Drosophila melanogaster: one gene and its partners. The protein of the gene in region 2 interacts with the protein of the main gene of each other region in a pairwise test. Each region holds a gene or a part of one and is shown on either strand. Other genes may lie near its edges. The genes, in order: Mob2, CG15580, Mondo and Polr2M.

The links.
Region 1: the proteins of CG15580 (region 2) and Mob2 interact in a two-hybrid assay, tested with the Drosophila melanogaster proteins (one large-scale study listed by BioGRID).
Region 3: the proteins of CG15580 (region 2) and Mondo interact in a two-hybrid assay, tested with the Drosophila melanogaster proteins (one large-scale study listed by BioGRID).
Region 4: the proteins of CG15580 (region 2) and Polr2M interact in a two-hybrid assay, tested with the Drosophila melanogaster proteins (one large-scale study listed by BioGRID).

What each region holds. Positions count from the first base shown.
Region 1 is NT_037436.4:11,550,058-11,554,997, forward strand, and holds the start of Mob2 (Mob2), read right to left. Parts: upstream 3,056-4,940; 5' UTR 2,773-3,055; intron 2,637-2,772; exon of another isoform or gene 2,482-2,636; intron 1-2,481. UniProt on the Drosophila melanogaster protein: Required for the normal morphogenesis of a variety of polarized outgrowths including epidermal hairs, bristles, arista laterals, and dendrites.
Region 2 is NT_033777.3:6,054,187-6,059,346, reverse strand, and holds CG15580 (uncharacterized protein), read left to right. Parts: upstream 1-1,810; 5' UTR 1,811-1,856; coding exon 1,857-2,167; intron 2,168-2,292; coding exon 2,293-3,138; intron 3,139-3,359; coding exon 3,360-3,939; intron 3,940-4,047; coding exon 4,048-4,542; 3' UTR 4,543-4,635; downstream 4,636-5,160.
Region 3 is NT_033779.5:21,306,999-21,311,579, forward strand, and holds the start of Mondo (mondo), read right to left. Parts: upstream 3,053-4,581; 5' UTR 2,941-3,052; exon of another isoform or gene 1,941-2,940; 5' UTR 1,790-1,940; coding exon 1,290-1,789; intron 1-1,289.
Region 4 is NT_033777.3:19,227,464-19,231,359, forward strand, and holds Polr2M (RNA polymerase II subunit M), read left to right. Parts: upstream 1-1,999; 5' UTR 2,000-2,034; coding exon 2,035-2,180; intron 2,181-2,247; coding exon 2,248-2,965; intron 2,966-3,021; coding exon 3,022-3,264; 3' UTR 3,265-3,369; downstream 3,370-3,896. Other genes in the region: CG11703 (uncharacterized protein), read right to left, coding at 1-644; CG5250 (uncharacterized protein), read right to left, coding at 829-1,764; unc79 (uncoordinated 79), read right to left, coding at 3,398-3,896.

The DNA of each region.
Region 1 (4,940 bases), on a different chromosome or scaffold from region 2:
ATATCTGAGTAGATACGAAATCATTGAAAATGGTATATTATATAAGCAAAAAGAGGTACCCTGTACATTTCGATCTTTGATTTTCTATTGATATGAAGATCCTCTTTCTTCAATGTAAAACTAATTCGTTCTGTTAGTATTTTTTATATTTTTTGTGCTTTTAAATTTTAACTTTACGAAACTAATATCCCAAATTTCTCATGAAACTCTTTGTGCAGCTTAAAGCAAAAACTTTTAATTGCTTGCAGACAATACTAGGAAGCCAATAAAATGGTCTGAAGTGCGTGCTAAAAAAAAAGTACGAAAAATCGAAAGATGACAGAAAAGGGGTTAATGCCTATTGTTTTGTTTATTCAGCTCGAAACCAGCTACTGATTCCAATATCCAAAATGTTCAATTTCCGCGTCGCTGTCGCACTTAACCTTCAACTCGCATTGAAGCCAATTTGCTGACTCTGTTGTCTTTTCCCCCCAAACGAGTTTTGTCTTTTGTGCGCCCCCCTTCTAGTATCGTTTTCACACCTCCGCACACAGAACAACTGGCGCCCCATCAAAACCGAAATTTATGATGTGATTCTAGCAACGCGACGGCGAGTGTTTTTTTTTTCTTAGATTGCCCATTGCTCGCGTTTTGAATGAGCTTAATTGTTGCCGATTTGAGTGTGCTTTTCATGTATATGCAGCACAACCCGTTAAAGGTCAAATGAGCGATTGGCAAAGTCGAAAGAGAGAAAAAAAAAATAGAAACCGAAACCGAAAATGAACCCCCACCCCCTTTGCTCGCTAGAAAAGCTGGAGAATTATGTCTATGTCTGCTAACGAAAGAAATGAAAACGAGTTCCACAACTGGCAAACGACGAGCAGGAAGACGACAGCAGATATGGAAAGGGAGATAGAAGCTGTGCAGCGGTACGGTGACGTGAGATGTGCGATGCACATGCAATGGATGACATGATATACATAGTAGATAGGTGTATCTCCGTACCCCCACCACCAAACCCCATGCCAAGCCGTACAAAACCCATCCATATATATCTTCGAGCTGGTTTGGGTTGTTCTGTTCTGTTCGCTTCATTTTGGTTTGGTTTGGTCTGGAAGAGCTGACCGGCGGGCAGGCAGAGCATCATACATACATACATATGGCATAACGGTTCGGCGGAAAGGCGCAGAGAAGTTTTCGGGTCGCTAACTAACCCAGTTACCAGAGATTCATCCGACAGCGTTTATAACTGTGACTATCCTTTTCATATGGGTTAAACGATCGATTGAGATACACGTCGAATGAAAACAGTCCCAATAGAACCGAAATGCATATGTATGAATTCGATTAAATGCGATTGCTGAGTTACTAAATTAGTATCTATACGATTTTGCTGGAATTGCTTAATGGGGAAATACCGTGAGAAAAGTGTTTCATAACGGGGGCAAAACGTTCAATCGCAAATAGTACATAGATACTTTTCTATACCATTATATATCGAACTAAAATTGTTAGTTTGGATAAATATCATAGTGCTTCTTCCTAATTAGTTCCTGAGCTTACATAAATCCTTAACATCCGCAACACAGAAGGGCCTACACAGAAAACGAATCGAATTCGGTTAGATAATATCGCACCACAAAGGCTTGAATCAATTTCATTTCCTCTGCCTTCCGCAAATTGTCCATGGCAATTCAACTATGGGAATCCGCAACTAGTTCCAGTTGGCTTTGCAATTTTTAGCATGACCTCAAAAAATCGATGGATGGCCTAGCGCATTTGAGGACCCAAAGGGTTGGCGAGGGGCAGTGGTAGGAAGGCGCGGGGGGTCTGGACGAAAGGTGTGAGAAATAACAAGCTGCTGGTTGAGCCACTCGTAACTGTTGTTTTCTCAGCGTATTGAACACGTAGGCGCGTCAACGGGGTTGACAAAAAGTAGAAACAACGCAACCAGGATGTGCACGGAAAAAAGAGGAAATACTCTAGGCCCAATAAGATATATCATTATTTTAAGATTTTCACTCTTTTTATTTTTAGAAGGTATTTAAAGGCAGTTTGAATAAGGATATATTCCATAAAAACCTATCTTTAAATAATTCTTGTGAAAACTGTCAAATGAACCCTAACAATACCCCCATTTCTTTCTGTGTGGCAGAGAAAACACCTGACAATGCAGTTGAGTGTGAGGGGGCGTTAATAAGGGAGGGTTGAGGGTTGCAGGGCAGACAACCAGACAAGCGGACGAACAGACAGGAAGCTCGTGAGGAAGGAAGTTCCTGCCGCTGCGGCAAAGGAAGTGGTTAAAACAATATGGCAGTGGAGGAACAAGTAGTGGTGGAGTGGCAGTGGCAGTGGCACACCAAGCAACATTGTGAATGCCCAATGTACCGTTGTTGTTGCTGACGCTGGAGTAGCAGCTTTGCTGCAGCGTTGCAGTTGTTGCTGGTGTGCCAATTCTAAGCGCTGCATTGGCAACAGTCGCGCTTCGCCGGTTTCGCAACTGAACTCTCAGCTGCTATTGCTCCTCTGCAGTTAGTTGCTGTTGCTTCTGCTGCTGCTGCTGTTGCTGCATTGCGCGTAATCAGTGAAGCAACAAACCGTGGCAGCTAGCTGCAACAGCAACAATAACACGCCAGCAGTCGCGGCTCTGAGGAAAAACTTGAATGCAGTTTTTCGCAGCGAATGACACAGTTTCACACCAGCACGGGAAAACACTAGCACACACACAGAGAAGAACTTCTTTTCTTTCTTTCTTTTTTTTTTTGTTGGAGAACAGACTCCTTTTCGGCTTACATTTGTTCCCCTTTTCGGGATATTAGTTTGTATTGGTAGGCGATTTTATTTCACAATCTAGCATAGCATTTCACGGTGGCAATTGATGTTGCAAATGTTGCGCTGCTTGCTGCTGGAGTTGCTGTTTTGCTTTTAACTGCGACGCGATGATGTGTGGTTGCAACCGACGGCGGCGCCTCGAAAAACAATGTCAAATAATGACGCGGCGACATCAACAGTCCACTATTGACGACGACCTGCAACCGCTCGAGCGACCAAGCGTGCCAAAGGAAATTTCTACACTGAGCCAAGCCGTCCGTCTTTGACTGACTGCTGCTCGTTCGGCTGGCAACAGCAACACATACACATACACAGCGGCAACAACAGCAACACACAGCGGCAACATCAACACTCACGCAAGTAAGGAGAGAAAAAAGGCAGCAAAAGCAAAAACACAAAACTGGCAACGAAAGCAGAGCACACAGTAAAGATGAAGTGGTTGCTGTTGTTGTTATTGTTGCTGCTGATGTTGCTGCTGTCTCGCACACCAGCAACATTTGCTCTCCGCTCGAGCGCGAGGAAGAGAGCTAGAGGTATCAAATACCAGCTGAGCGGGAGAGAGCTGCCCGTGTACGTGTTTTGCATACAAATGCGCCACTCAAGCGAGACACGCACATCTATACGGTTTTCGACCACTTGTTTGACTGCTTTGGCTTTAGCCCTCTCTCTTCTACGCTCTCTCGCATCAGCTGAGCGCTCATGTTTTGATGCTCAGCAGCTGACTGCGCTGGCGTTGCCACACAGCTCGGTAACAAGAGAACACGGCAAAGTGGCAGTAGAATAGTAGCAGAATCTACTACTTTTTTAACGCATTGAACAAACCTAGGATAAACTCTATAAATAACAATTAGAAATTAATTTTCCACGAAAAGGGATAATTGTACCGTTCGTATGAAACATTTAAATGGATTTCTCATAAATATATTGCCATTGTTGATTCATTAACACATGGTTTTAATGATCACAGGTAAACGAAATAAATTCGGCAAATTTAATGGCTAACACAATTTCGTACAATTGACGCAAACATCACATCACTTATGTACTTTTACCAAGAACACTAATTGGCTTGATAACAATCTGTTCAACTAAAACATCATAGAGTTTTGTTAAAGCGCTAAACATTTATTTAATACGTTTAATACTCTAAGCATGTTATAATTTTTTTCTCAGTTAAAATGACTGCTCTAATTGACTTAAACAAATTACCTGGGATTTGGGTAAGCTCATGCTCAAGATATTTCACTCACCTGAAAGGAAAACAGAAAATAAAGAATTAAAGATATATTCCAATTTGTTATTCTCGATGGTAAGGACCTCCAGCTACGTGGTTCTTATCAATGAAGTGACCCCAAGCCCGCATGAAATAGCTACTCCTCTGACCATCAAATCTCTCCACAGGGAGTAATTATCACGCTCTTTTTCGGCCAGGAAGAAATAAAATCAGTAATCAAATAGAATGGAGCGGTAGACGAAAACCGAAGAACACAGGAACTGCATTTGCTGCCTAACTTACACAGAATCTAGACCCGAATAAGAAAACATAATATAAACGCATCGTCATTCTGCGTAAATAAAGTTGAAAACAGGAACACGCAATGCACTTAGATAAATTTGGACCGACATGTGTGGTATTCATTAAGCGAATAACTAAAAAGAATGATTAACAAAAACACAACAGTACCAACCCACATAAACTTATTTTATATTTTTAAATTTACTAGACAATTGCATTAATACACTTTTTTTCGAGTGTATCTCAAAACAGCTGTCCATTGACGAGCTGAAGAAAAACAAGAACAAATACGACTGGGGCGAAAAGGTGAGAAGCGGATAGAGGAAAAGGAATCTTGGCAGCAGAGAACGCGCACCTGTGACCGCCCGCAATGCAACCGAAACGGCGGCAAGTTCATTTGCACCACATCAAAATTTCATCCACACTATGCTGCGCACACACACACACGAAGCGTGTAATGGAACATCTGATCCGTACCGCCAACTCTATGGCCCTCTCTTTCCACCCACACAGCACAGCAACCATCTCACTTGCTCCAAAAGGTGGTAACGCTCGGCTGCTTTCTAGCGGTTCAACTGCTGCCATTTGCCATTACTCGAATTGCTTTGTGCCC
Region 2 (5,160 bases):
TAGATCGTCCCCGGAGCCAGTGTTGCAAACATGTTAAGCAATCGCGCCAACTTTTTGGTCTTTTCGCCTCAGGGGAAAGGCAAAACTCTGCCGTGAGACGAACGGCAGCTCGTAAATTTCAAAAATTTGAAAACAACAGCGCCGGCAACATATACTTTTCGCGCGCTGGCCGAAATTATTTTAAATCACCTGCTGCCCGGCATTTATCATCAGAGCCAGTCGGACAAGTCGGACTCCCTAACGACCGCAGCCAGTCTTCAGCTCAACTCCCAGGACGACTACAACGGCAGCGAGATTTGCGAAGAGCACTTTATTTTGGCCAAGCCATTGCCACGCCTCCGTCCCCAAGCCCCCATCCACACTCCATCCACGCAGTGAAGTTTTCTCCACCTAACACCGACCCACTCATAATGTCCGCGCTTCTGATGTTATTTTGCCATTTTCGCTCTGGTTTGCGGCTGGGGGAAAACTGTTTTGTTATCACGGTGATAAATGGAAAATTATTTTGAATCGAGCAACTACTTAAAAGAATTCCCAAAGGTTGTAATAAATTTTGGGGCACACACATACACACATACATTCACGTCCGAGAAGGACATGCGAGGAAGGACAAGTTGGTAAGACCGAATCCGAGTTGAGCTGGCTTGGTAATGTCCTTCCAGATAAAAAGGTGATTGACGAAGCGAAAGCAAAAGTCATGGTCGAACTTCCACTTAGCAATGCAGTTGTCGTTCACAGAAAAGGACCAACGACGATGTCGGTGGTTGTGTTGTGTGTAGTGGTGGGCTGGATGGCGAATTTCGTCCTGGCATGCACTTAATTTGTACTGGGAGCTGGGGACCTGGGGCTCCTCCACTTGCTCTGAAGAAATACTCCAAGTTGAGCATATTCACAAAGCTTTGCAGAGCCAGGAATGCTATAGGTGCACACCGTGCCAAATTATTTCCTTACAACTTTAAAACTAAACATTTTATTATATGATACATCCTGGAATATAGCCCACATAGGTAGGAAGTAACAGCTCTTCCGGGAAAATATTATAGCTTATCAACAGTACCACTATAATTAAATAATAATAAATATGCATTAAAAATATAAATATTTTATATGTCCTGGTCACAAGAATTGATACAAAGTCGTTTGGTTTTCTTAAGTGCAGCGTCTTTGTTGGCAGGAGCAGCTACATGCACTATGGAAACCACTTCCAAACTGGGGGCCATCTCCGATCCAGGCACAAAGGCACCCGGACAGGACGAGCACACTCAGCGAGCAGCTCTAACAACATCTATTTTTATTTCATTAGGTAGAAAAATAGCCGGCAAGGTGAAGCTCCTGGCAGCTTCGCCATCAAAACAAAGCGCTGAATATTGGCCAAAACGGAATGGAACGGGGCGGGCGAAGCGGGGCTGGCCACAAAAAGAAACTGCTCTTCGCTTCTCAATTAGGTTAGCTTAATTTAAATTTGCTTCGAGTGCTTGGCAAGTGCTTGCGAGACATTAGCAGCAAATATTAGCAAACGCTTAAAGAGCGCCGTAAGTGGAAAATATCTTAGGCGAGTTTTCTTAAATTAGCCGTTGTAAACATTTGTTACGCACTCGGGTCGGGATTTAGAGTGTCTTAAATGAAAACCGGACAGTTTTTAATGAGGAAGTACGTTTGGCAGGTGCGAGATAACTAAAACATAAAACATGTTCATTGGAGTATGAAGATAGACAAACGGCACTTCCATAAATGTATTAAGGTGCACTGGAACACATGGGTTAAAACCATGTTATACTTATCGATCACTTTCAGAAACAAACTTCAAAAAAAAAGACTTTCAACGCACAAACAAACATACTCGAAAATAACTCCATATGGACTTTGAAGATGATGAGGAGGTTGTGCAACCGCACTATGCTCAGAAATTCCGGGCTCCCACCGATCCCCTCCTTCTGGCCACATATGAGCTTTTTAAGCCCTCTCATCAGACCTTGAACCTATACAGCGAACGGAATCGCGAGATTTTTGCGGAGGCCTTTATAGAGGGAAACTTGAACACTTTAGTCAATCTGAGCGTAAAGAGTCTGGCCAAGCTGGGCATTCGAGGCATATCTCCAACTTTGCAGGCGAGTCCCCAGCTTATGAGGATATTTTACGACGCACTGGATGTGGAGCTGCCTTTGAGGTATGTAACGAAACGGATACAAGTATTTTCATTACATAACCTATAATTTAACATTTGACGCCACTAACTTTATATCGTTATTTACTATGGTTACAAACCCTAATAACTTTATATATATTTCAAAGAGATTGCTATTTGATCGAGGATCAACGATTTTGGCGACGCGTCGTACTAAGCAAGACTTTGGACAAAACGTTGCACCTGAAGCGCTGGAACGAGTTCGACTGGAAGGCTGAGGGTGTGAGCCGGAAGTTTGTGGAGCAGGTTGAATCATGTCCTGTGAACGTGAAGCCGCAGAGAAGGCTGGCTCAGTTGGCTGAAATTGTTTGGCAGTATGTCAACTCCATGCACATCCGCAAGCTGCAAGCTCTGCCCGACTATGCCTTCATTAAGCACTTGGAGAGCGAGCCTGAAGAGGATATATCCTCGGAGTCATCCGACGAGGAGGAGATATCTAGCGATGAGCCGGATACGGAAATGGACGAGGGCGAGGAGGAGCACAAGTCTAGTAGTTCCAGCAGCGAGGCAGCTATTACTTTCTGGCGTGCGGAAACCGAGAACGAGGACACAATTCGCCGGAATGCGCGACATCTGCGCAACGCCAACCGCCAGCAGGCTCGGGATGCCATTGCTAGGAAACGGGAGGATCGCAAGGAGCGCAAGAGGAAGCGCCAGGAGAAACTGGACGCCTTGAAGAATGCGGATCAATCGGGCAAGAAAAAGAAGAAAAAGAAGAAGGAACCGCCCATTCGAGACGTGTTCAGCATAAACGTTGCTCCAGAAGAAGGTGATGACGAGGACACAAAACCGGACAAGCGCAACAAGCAGCTGCTGCTGGAGCGGATCAAGCGGTATGACTATCCGGAGGACCATTGTCATCACATTGATCTGGGATTTGTACGATATTTTGAAAATATGATGTCTCTGACGCTGGAGTTTTTGGGACCACCTGATGTAAAAGACTATCAAAGGTAAGCTCTTAAATTAGAATGTTATGGTAAGAAACAACATCGAAGAAGTGAAACGTGCTGTACACGATTTGTATAACATGTTTTCTCTGAGATAAATGGAACCAAATAAATACATGTGAAGTAGAGTTCTAAAAGCGCCAAGAGTCTACAGCTGCATCGCCTACCACCAGCATTTAAATTAAAATTGCTAGCTTAAACTTAACTTAACTTGTACCTTACAGCCGTTATATGAAGTTCTCAGACAGTGATATGGTTCGTCTTAGCAAAGGTCTGAAATACTTACCGAGCCTCAAGACCTTCAGGCTTCGAAACAGTCGCCTGAGTATGAAGAAGTTTCGTATCCTGACCCGTGCCCTTCAGAACTTAGACACCCTTGATGAGGTGGATTTTGGTTATGACCAAATGACGGATGAGTGCAGCGAAGGCCTGGCCTATTTGCTAAAGCGCCCTTTGATGTACCGCAGTATCCAGCTGGAACACAACAAATTGGGCGCCAATTGTGCAATTGTGCTGGGCGAGGCGTTGAGCCAATCGCAAGTGGGGGTTTTGGAGTATCTGGGCCTGGCTCACAATCCGCTTAATGAATTGGCCCTGCATTCGCTCATAACGTGTATTATCGGAACCCCCCATGTGTGGGCCCTCAACATTTCGGGGATCAACACCACCCTGGGTTCGTTTTCCCGTGATATAGGAACCCTCCTGCGCAGCCACACTCCTCTGATGAGCCTCGAAATGGCCGCCATCAACATTGGCATCTCGCAAGGGAATCAAATACTGAGATCCCTGGAAAAGAATACCCGAGTAAGTATAACATTGAATTAGGTTGGATCGCTGATAATGACCACTTTTGCGAAAGGGGTGCTGAAGATCATTTTTAACTGAGTATTGAACTTACATTCCTATCCTAAGATCCTATACGCCGACTTCCGGGAATGTGAGCTGAGCTTCGACCAGGAATTCGAAGTGGACATGATAGTGCGTCGGAATAACTACATTCATGAAAACCTCCACCACGGCGAGAATCTGTGTAAGGTGGTCAAGGAGCGCCGCCATCCGATTGTCCAGCGAATCGAGGAGGATTTCGCCCGGCGGAAGGGGTGCACGGAGGTGCGGCCGAAGTTCTCGAGCTCCAGCAAGGAATCCATTCCGGAGGTGGTCGTTGAGAAGAAGGAGGTCGAGGAGGAGGGCGACATCTGGGCAATGTTGGCTCGGTGGAACCAGCCGACAGCGCCTGAAGTGAGGGAATCGCACACTTCAAAGGATTCGCACCCCTCTCAAAATGGAAAGACAGAACCATTTGTTTTCGAACCCAACAAGTTCGATCTGGACCAGTTCCGGAAGTCTGTCTTTCTGCCAGGCCCTGGCAATCGCTTTTTCTACCTGCAAAGGAACAAAACTCCCTAATTTGTAGCCCTTTTCACCACCTACAATTGTACATTGCATAACATTGTACTCTGAGTATATTTTCAAAGCATTAAACGCACCACTTAGCAGTCCAACATAGTCCCTATCATTCTCGAGGGCTTGGAATGTCATTCGACCTAATGGTCACTTTAAACCTTCGCCATAAAGTGCCGCGCTGGCATAAACTGAGATCTAATTAAGTCGCTGGCAACGTGTTCGCCTTGGAGCCACGCCCACAATTCCGGGGGCCACACCTCGACCGAAGGTCATTGCAGAGCACAGCAAGTGCAACAAAGTTGAGCAGTTTGCATTTAAGCAGCGGAGATTTGGGCAACAGTGTCTCCAATTTAATGCCACTTCCCCTGGCTACTTCTGCCTTCCAAGCTCCACAGTCAATTCCATAAAATCGTGGGCGTACACTCGGAAAAAATAGTATAATTTCCATGTTGATAAAACAAACTAGAAAGCACTTAAAACACCAGTCCTAAAAACAGCATGTTAAATCCTTTTAACACTTTAGTTAAAAGAATTTTTCAATTCATATTACTTCATTTGAAGACTTAATTTCCAATGTTAACTAGCGGTGATTTTATTGGAAGGCTTCATTTCTTTTAAAGT
Region 3 (4,581 bases), on a different chromosome or scaffold from region 2:
GTGGTAAAAAGTTTTGTTGTAAATGGATAGAAATGTACAAGACTAATTAAAAAATGAAAAAATTATTCAAAAATGTGGGCGTGGCAGTTTTGGGCGGTTTAGGGCGTTAGAGTGGGCGTGGAAAACAATTTTTTTCCAAATCGTTAGAAATTTACAAGACTAATAAAAATGTGAAAAAATATGATCACGTTTTTCAAAAGTGTGGGCGTGACAGTTTTCAGCTAGTGTTAGAGTGGGCGTGGCAACATGGCTAAACAAAGTTGCGGTTTTAACTTGGCTAAACTTCTAGATTTTATAGGGTTCCTGAGATCTCGACGTTCAGGCGGACATGGCTAGATTGACCCAGCTATAGATCCTGATCAAGTCGGAAACGCCCGTTGCATACTTTTCAACTAATCTAGTATCTAGAATCGTAGAGTAGAAGCGTATAACAATTACGTTGTTCTCTCTTTTAATATGTTATTTAGACAAAAAAAGCGTTTGGAAATGTCTTTCCATCGAAACTTAACACCATCAAAACAACCGGCGGGCGTGCAAAATGAAGCATGTTATAAATTTAAATTTATATTTTTCCTCGTGTATATTGTAGTCGCTAAAGCGCATCCAGGAGAACGCACACTCTCCTAGAGCACTTAGTCACTTAGTGAAAAACAACAATGAAATCACATGGTCGTGAAAAATGTAAGGAAATCCGAATTCGTAGTTATTAACAATACGCGTATATATATGGATCATACAAACAACTACCGTAGCTGTTTTATAGTGACTAAAAACCATCATTATAACAAACAAATTTAAAATTTAAAACTGTATAACACTTTTTTTAAACAAATCCTTTTCGTTCTTTAAAAAAAAACAAAAAACAATAGCTTCACAATTCAGATTTTTAGTTGATAAGGTCTCAGATAATAATATGTTGTAAGCAAATTGCATTTCATTTTGCAAAATTAATTCATTCTGATATTGCTTTGGCAATACTTTAATATTTTCTCTATGATTGCGCTGTCGTTTGCAGAAATGGGAGAAGTAACAGAAAGAGGGGTATAAAGGGTGGCAGAGGAGCGATTGAGGCAATGTGGGGCCAAAGTAACCTGAGCAGCGACGTCACGTCTCAACATGTGCCGCGATTATGGGACCGAAGCGGTCCAAGCTTTTTCGTTTGCTGGATTTTCGTTGGCCAGTTGAGCGTTATCACGCTCGAAACGCGTGAACAAGCGGGAAACAACATTTCATAAATCTTCAGGGCCCCGGTGTTCGGTTGTGGTCTCGAGTACGAGTCTTCAACTCACCTGTAGGCCAGATTCATGCACTTGAAGAGTTTGGTGAGCGAGGTCTCTATCTCCAGGTGGGAGGTCACCATGCTCATGCTGCTCTCGTCGCCCTCCTGGTCCATGGCGCTGAAGTGGGCCACTGTTTGGGGTACGTAAAGCTGCACGTCACGACATGTGTTGGTTGGCTCGCCCGGCTTGCCCAGACCGGGGTCCTCAGGGTCTAGCATCTTCACCTCGCCGTCATCCTCTAGGTCGTCCTGCGCCTCCTCTGCCTCGAAGTGCGAGACCATAAACTGGCCGGAGTGGATAGACTCCCGCTCCGCCTTGAGCAGGTCTGCCGTAGCCTCGGCGGACCCTGACGCCGAAGCACCTACTCCCGTTTCGTACTGCAATTGCTGGAAGTTTTGGCACAGAGACTGTTGCAGATAAGGCTGCTGGTGCAGCTGAGGCAGCTGGTGCTGCTGGTGGGGAAACATTTGGCTTGTGCGTTGGTATCCCTCGTGTTTATTCAGCATCATTTTCAACAGGTGCCAGGGGATGCCTATGCAAATAGTTTACTGTTGAGCCAAAATTTTGGCGGTTGCAGATTATGTCGATATGGCGAGGGCACATTTAATGGTTTTTTAATGTCTCTCGCGTAGTAAAGGCTTTTAAAAGCTGGTGCTGACCCTTTTTTAATTTGGATGGGGTTTTTCCATCATTTCAAAATATGTAAACGTTCGCAGACTATAAAAAAAAATATGTTTTGTCTTGCCTCGTGGTTAACACATTTATTAATTCTCTCATCTAGTGTTTGTCCTTGTCATTCTATTAACTAAATTACTAAAATAAGCGATTATTTGATAGAGACATAGCACGGTTTTAAGATTTTGATTTGTTTACAATGCCCGACACCTTCAGCTTTTCGTCATCGACACCTGTCCAATTGTTGCTTTTTCCGGAGCGAAGCTTCTCTAATGGCAAACACGCCCCGCTTTTGCCGTTATATGCGTCACACAGCACAATAACAACAATTTTCGCACACACACACACACACACAATCGCGGCGGGGTTGGCTGGGGATACGGACGTCAGAACGAGACGTCAGTGGCCGCTTGTAGCTCCTTGAACAGATAGTGAAGCCCCAACTACTCGTAAACACACGCGGATCTGATGGAAGGCCAACAAGGCGGGCAGAACCAGCGCAGAACGATCGGTTTCATTCCACAAACAGAACTGATCGGAGAACGAAGCTGCGAAACGCACATAACCTGTGCGCCGCACACAACACAACAATGAACAGCTGACGCGAAATCTCTCTCTCTCCCTACCTCGCTAGCGTTGCTTATCAGCTAGGAAAACGTACATACATATGTATATGTATGTATGTACGTGTTCTTCTATATGCGCAGATGTCAGGCAGCAATGTTGTCCCCCTCTCCACTATTACTATATGGAGCTCAGTCGATTTGACTCCTGGCATTCGGCCTTGCCATCCAGAGTATGCACTCCACAAGCAGTTCTGTGTTTGCACTTTTGACCTCTGGCTCAGCGCTGCCTTTGCATTTTGCCTTTTTCCGTTCCCACTCATATACACGCGCATGCACGCGCACCACAATTTCGGTACAACTGCAACTGCCCCCTATAGCAGAAACACGGGCAGTTAGCAGGCACGACGGACTACCAATACCACGCACACACGCGCAACACAAAGCTTCTACGTAGTTTAATCACAATATAGCACACATTAACCTATTGCGGGTAGCGAGCCCTCACCATCCCATCAGGGTTGTCAAGCATTTGGTGGCTCTGATAAACAGCACCCTCTTCCTAAAAATGGCTGAAAGCTGCGAGCCGAAAAACGCAAGAATGAGCATAATCACCCCAAACGTAAAGATTGGGAAGGGCAGCATACGAGGTCATATGTTTCCTGCTCCGAAATTGCAATACAATGAATTTAGGACGGCTATTTCCCGTAATTAGTTTCCAGTTTTATGGAATTGCTATTATATCTTTTTCCGACAGCACCTTGAAACCGCATCAATAAAAAGTTAATGCGTTGAGACTAATAGGAAAAACTAGAATATATACATATATTATACTCAAATGTAATGTGTTTTTTAAACATTGTTGTGCTTAAGTAATTAGGAAAAATTATGTAAAATGGATATTTTCCCTTTATGTTCACTATATTGTTTAAGTTAGAGAATAGAATACCCAGAATAAAATTAGTGATCACACATCAAAAAACTATCGATAAACATTGAATTAGTTCCGGTTAAAATTTAATAATAAGTATTCAAACTGCACACCTTGTTACAAAGTAGTGTAACTGCCTAATTCTTTATCAGCAGACTAGAGGATTTCGCACTCCCATGTTCTTTTGCTTAAATACCTTTCTCGGGCTTATATTAGACATTATACTTTCAGAGAATTTTTTCATTTGTACTGTTAGAAGGTTCTTAATGAAATTGCTGTTCAGTTCAAAATTTTTATATAGTCATTTAATAATACTTTACGAATGATTTTGTGCGCTTTAGATTTGTGAGAAAAAGGGGTGGGATTATTTAGTAGAAAGTAGCAAGGCATTTCCCGATCTGGTAACACTGATTCCAACACTCATTACCGTTCCAAATGAAACGCAAAAAGGTTCAATTGTTATTTTCTCTCACGATTTCGGCATTTATATTAACCTAAAGATGGCTCTATAGTTTGCGCGCAAGCAAAAACAAGCAGCACCTAGGTGCCCAAACACAACAAAATGGAAACGTATAAAAATCAAAAGTGAGTATACACCAAGCTAAATTCTCGCTAATTTCGCAATTTATCACGCACACTGCCGCACTTGGCGTTCTACTCATTCATTGTTGCTGCACGTGTGTTGGTGGCATTGCCTTGTATGGATTTTCAATTGACCGGGCGAACGTGGCAAATCAAAACTCAGTGGGGCATGCCACCTGGTAAAGGTAAAGAAATTGGCTGACGCAATCGCCGACTGGAGTTGAGTAATGTGCGTTGCAAGTCGCCTGCACGTGCGAAAATGAGATGACTCACCACAGTAAGGACTACCCCAAGCGGACACAGCCCAGGACAGAGCTGTTTAAACCGGCTGCGCGATTGCAGCTCTACCCTTGCATTCTATATTTACCTAAAATGTTAAAACATAATTACTATATTACTAAGCTAGAGGGGAGAAAGAAGTTTTCAAAAAGAAAATTAAAATCAAAATTTGCGTGCTTAATCTCAACTTTTTTGGTGGTGGACACGGCAATATTGACTCTTGGTAATAAAATGTTAAAAATACATTTATCTTTCATAGTTTTCAATGAAT
Region 4 (3,896 bases), about 13 Mb from region 2:
AAGACCATTTCGGGCTTGGGCCCATTGGTCACCTCGCAGGTGATCCAAATCTTGGGCGTGTTGCCCAGCTTGCCCACGGTGTCCTGAAGGCTCGCTGGCGCCTCCTTGGGCAAGTCATCTGGCGTGTCGTAGGTCTCCGGCACATAGCCAATAACCTTGTTCAGCTTGATGAAGACGGTCGGCTTTTCGGTGGCGTAGCCCCACGTAGTGTCCTGGTTGAAATCGGCGAAGAAGTCAATGGCATTGTCGTTCAATTTGTTCAGGAAATCGTCGATGCGGTCCGCAATCGGATTGACCTCACTCATGATGTGCGTAAAGTAGGCCAGCACGGATCGATTCTGGTTGGGCACCATCGACAGACCCGGCGGACCCTTGAGCCAGCGCGGCTTATTCGGATCAATGATGGCCAGCATAAAGATGCCCAACCAAAAGGCCACAATGCACACGATTAGGGCGTATAGTACCAGGTAGAAGCCAGTGATACGCATCCAACCCAGAGCTGTGCGTCCGAACAATTTGTGCTCGTCTATGTCGAATATCCTCTTCGACCACGGCAGGTCCTTCTTGCGACGTGTCTCCTGGTTCCGGCGTATCTGCTTGACCAGCTTGTAGTCCCCAGCGGGCACCATTACGTCCTCCGGCATCGTGGCGATCGTTCCGGTTCTGATTTGGCTACTGGTTACGTGGGCGTAAGTGGGAAATATTCGAAGCTTGTAGCTTCGGTTCACTATGAAATCTAAAGCGGAGTAAACTATAATTCTCAAATAGTTTTATTATTTTGTTAAGTATTTATTAATACATTAATAAATCCAGCTGAGTTAGCTGATCTCACTCGTACCACTCGTCCAGCACCAATGGAGTGGTTGGATGAACTGGTGCCGTCAGACGCACCAGCATCTTGACCGTTACCATATGGAGCGGTATGTTCTTAGCCCACGCCTTGCAGTGGATTTGGATGTCCTCGTTGATCGGAATGTTGCTCAACCGAACACTGATGATGCGCCTGAGGCGGGGATCCTCCTTGTAAGTAGGTCCGTCGTCGTCCGAAGACTCGTTGAGAAAGACATTGCCGGAGGTGAAGAGCTCTTCGGCATCGAAGAAGCGAACCGGATGGTAGTCGAACTGAATGTCCACTCTTGGCTCAATAACCTGGCAGGACACCCAGATGCGGTTGAAGCGCTCCTCCGAGCCCAGGCCCACCACATAGTCGAATAGCTCATCCGGAGCGTACTCGGGCAGCGTTAGGGCGTCATCGTAGGTTACCGCCTGGAAGCCCAATGCCTGGGTGATCTTTATTAGAATGCACGGCGTGCCGGACATATAGCCCCAACTGTCGTCTATGTTACAGCCCATCAGGCGCTTCGGGCCTTCGAGACCGTATCGTTTCACCGTTCGCATTATCGCGCGTTGTATGTTAGCCACATCCTTAATGTTATTAGGGCTCCACATAATTTGCTTCTGATCACCGACATGGTGTCCGGGTGCGGTTGCTAGTCCGGGGAACTTTTTGCATCCCGGCCTATCCGGATATATATGATTCGCAATCATCACGAGGGCCAATCCGGTTGTGAATACGCCCAAAACGAAAAAGAATCCGATGAAGTAGAGCAGCAGTTTGATAAAACGGCACACGGTCATCTCGGGATCCGCATTGCGTGTGCGAATGGAACGCCTGTAGAGGTACTCCGCCACACGCATATCACGACGCCGGCGAAGGCGTCCCAATTCGTAGGGACCAGAATAGATTATCGCGTCGTTAGGCATGGAATAATAATATATGGGTACTTAATTATATCTTATGGAAATATATGAGGGATTTCAGAAAGCTAGCTTGGGGTGGATTAGAAATATAGGAATGTATTCCGCACAGAAATCAGAAGCACTAATGTATATTTTTGAATAACGCGCCTTTTTGTCGATAACGATAGGCGTTAAGTGAACTCCTGTAGCCCTTTGCTTCGTAGCAGCACTAAGTATTTTATCGCAACCACAGCACGGTCATACTAAGCTTATGAGCAAAATAAGTGAGCCAAAATGGGCGATAATGTGATTCCTGCTCCGCTTAGCCGTATCCCGGGCACCAGCCAGGCGAAGGAGAAGCACAGCAAGGACCTGAAGACCCTTACCTATCCGCAGCTGCTGGAGATTAAGGACAGGCAGTCTCACTTTCTGTCGTTCAAGTGAGTTTTAGTTTCCACCTGTGGAGTTCCCTGTGAATTTATCTTATTTAATTTTATCTCTATTTAGAAAGCGTTTGCACCAACTGCCGGACAAGGGAAAGCGTCTGCAGGAGTCGTACGACAAATTACTGGCCGAGATCAGGAGGCGGGATGAAGTAGAGGAAGCGACTCGAATGTTGAGCGGTCTCAACATTGTCGAAAAGGGCAAAATTGCTCTCAACAATCTGGAGTGGAATGGCAGAAACACGGACGAGGGCGCCCATGTGGACGACATTCTGGACAGCGATGATGAGGTGGAGATGGATCCGCTGCGGATTATAGCGCAGGGAACAATGCACGAGAAGAAGGTCAAGGTTTTGCCTCCGCCAACGAGTTTCATTACGGCAGATGATCTGGCGGATATCGAGGAGTTTAAGAAACCAACCGACTCCCCAGATTCCGCCTTGGCAGGACATAGTGACACCAGTTCCCTTCCTGCCGAGATCGTAGAAATCGACGCCAGTCAAGTGGCCGCAAAGCTGAGCAGGGAGCTGCCTCCCGATCAGCATGCCCTCTACCTCATCGATAAGACGGAAACAAATGTGAATACTCCTAGGGAAAAGTTTATGCCATTCCGAACCACCAAGTCCAATGTCCACAATCCCGACAAGGAGCGCGTGCGCAAAAAGGGCAAGCATTGGGAAATAACGGCAGCAACTCCGCCACTCATCCAGCACAAAGAGGCCCAGTTGGTGCCATTGGCTGAGTCGGCTGCGTTACAGATTGATTACATGCAAAGAGTAAAGGTAATTTCATTGCTTATGGTCTACATAATTCGATGCTAAATACACTTTATTTGTAGGAGGTTCGCATTCAGCAGGCTGAACAGCGGCTGGCCAGGCTTAAAGACTCTCGACTCCGACTTGGCCTGCCCGAGGAATCGATTGTGAAAACCAAGGAATCCTTCCGCAACTACCGTGATCCCCAAGACACTTTTCTCATCGAGGGCAGGCAAAAAGCCAGCGAAGCGAATGAAGTGCAAGATCCTACTGTTCAAGACAGAGGATCGTCCGCCAGTGGCATTCATTACACGGTGTTCGAGTAACCTATGGGCAGAGCATGAGATAGAATCTATGCTATTCGATTTCCAAGAAACATTGTGTACTATTTATTCGCGTAGGCAACAATTACCAAATAAGACTGCATACATAACTATACTGTGTATACTCTGTGAATACTTAGATTGAATAGAACTGCGTGGCTGTGGAGGCTTGCAACTCGATCTGGCCCATCTTGAACTGCAAGCGCTGCAGCCATTTGAGCAGAGCCTCCGACTTGTACGTTTGCTGCTCCTCGTAGTCCGGTGCATAGTCTCTTACGTTTTGCAACCGGACGTGCAAAGTGTCCGAGAGTTGCGTCTGTGACGAGAGTACGGGGCTCCACATGGGTAGCAGTTTGCCCAGCACTGTGGAATTGGTGTCCTTCAACGCCTCCAACAGACTAAGGAAGTGCAGATTGACCATCTCGGACAGCTTGGAGTTAGCACTCTGCGTCTGAAAGTCCAGGGGGGTCTGCGGCTGATCCTTATTGACTGTCGGCTTGGCGTGGGACACCAATTGCAAGATGCAGGGCGTCACCTTTGCCCAGAACTCAAAAAGAACGCCTAACGTGCTGCCCTCCGCATTGCTATTGGTATTGTGGGCCATCTGCTCCAAGTACACCGTCCACAGTTGACAT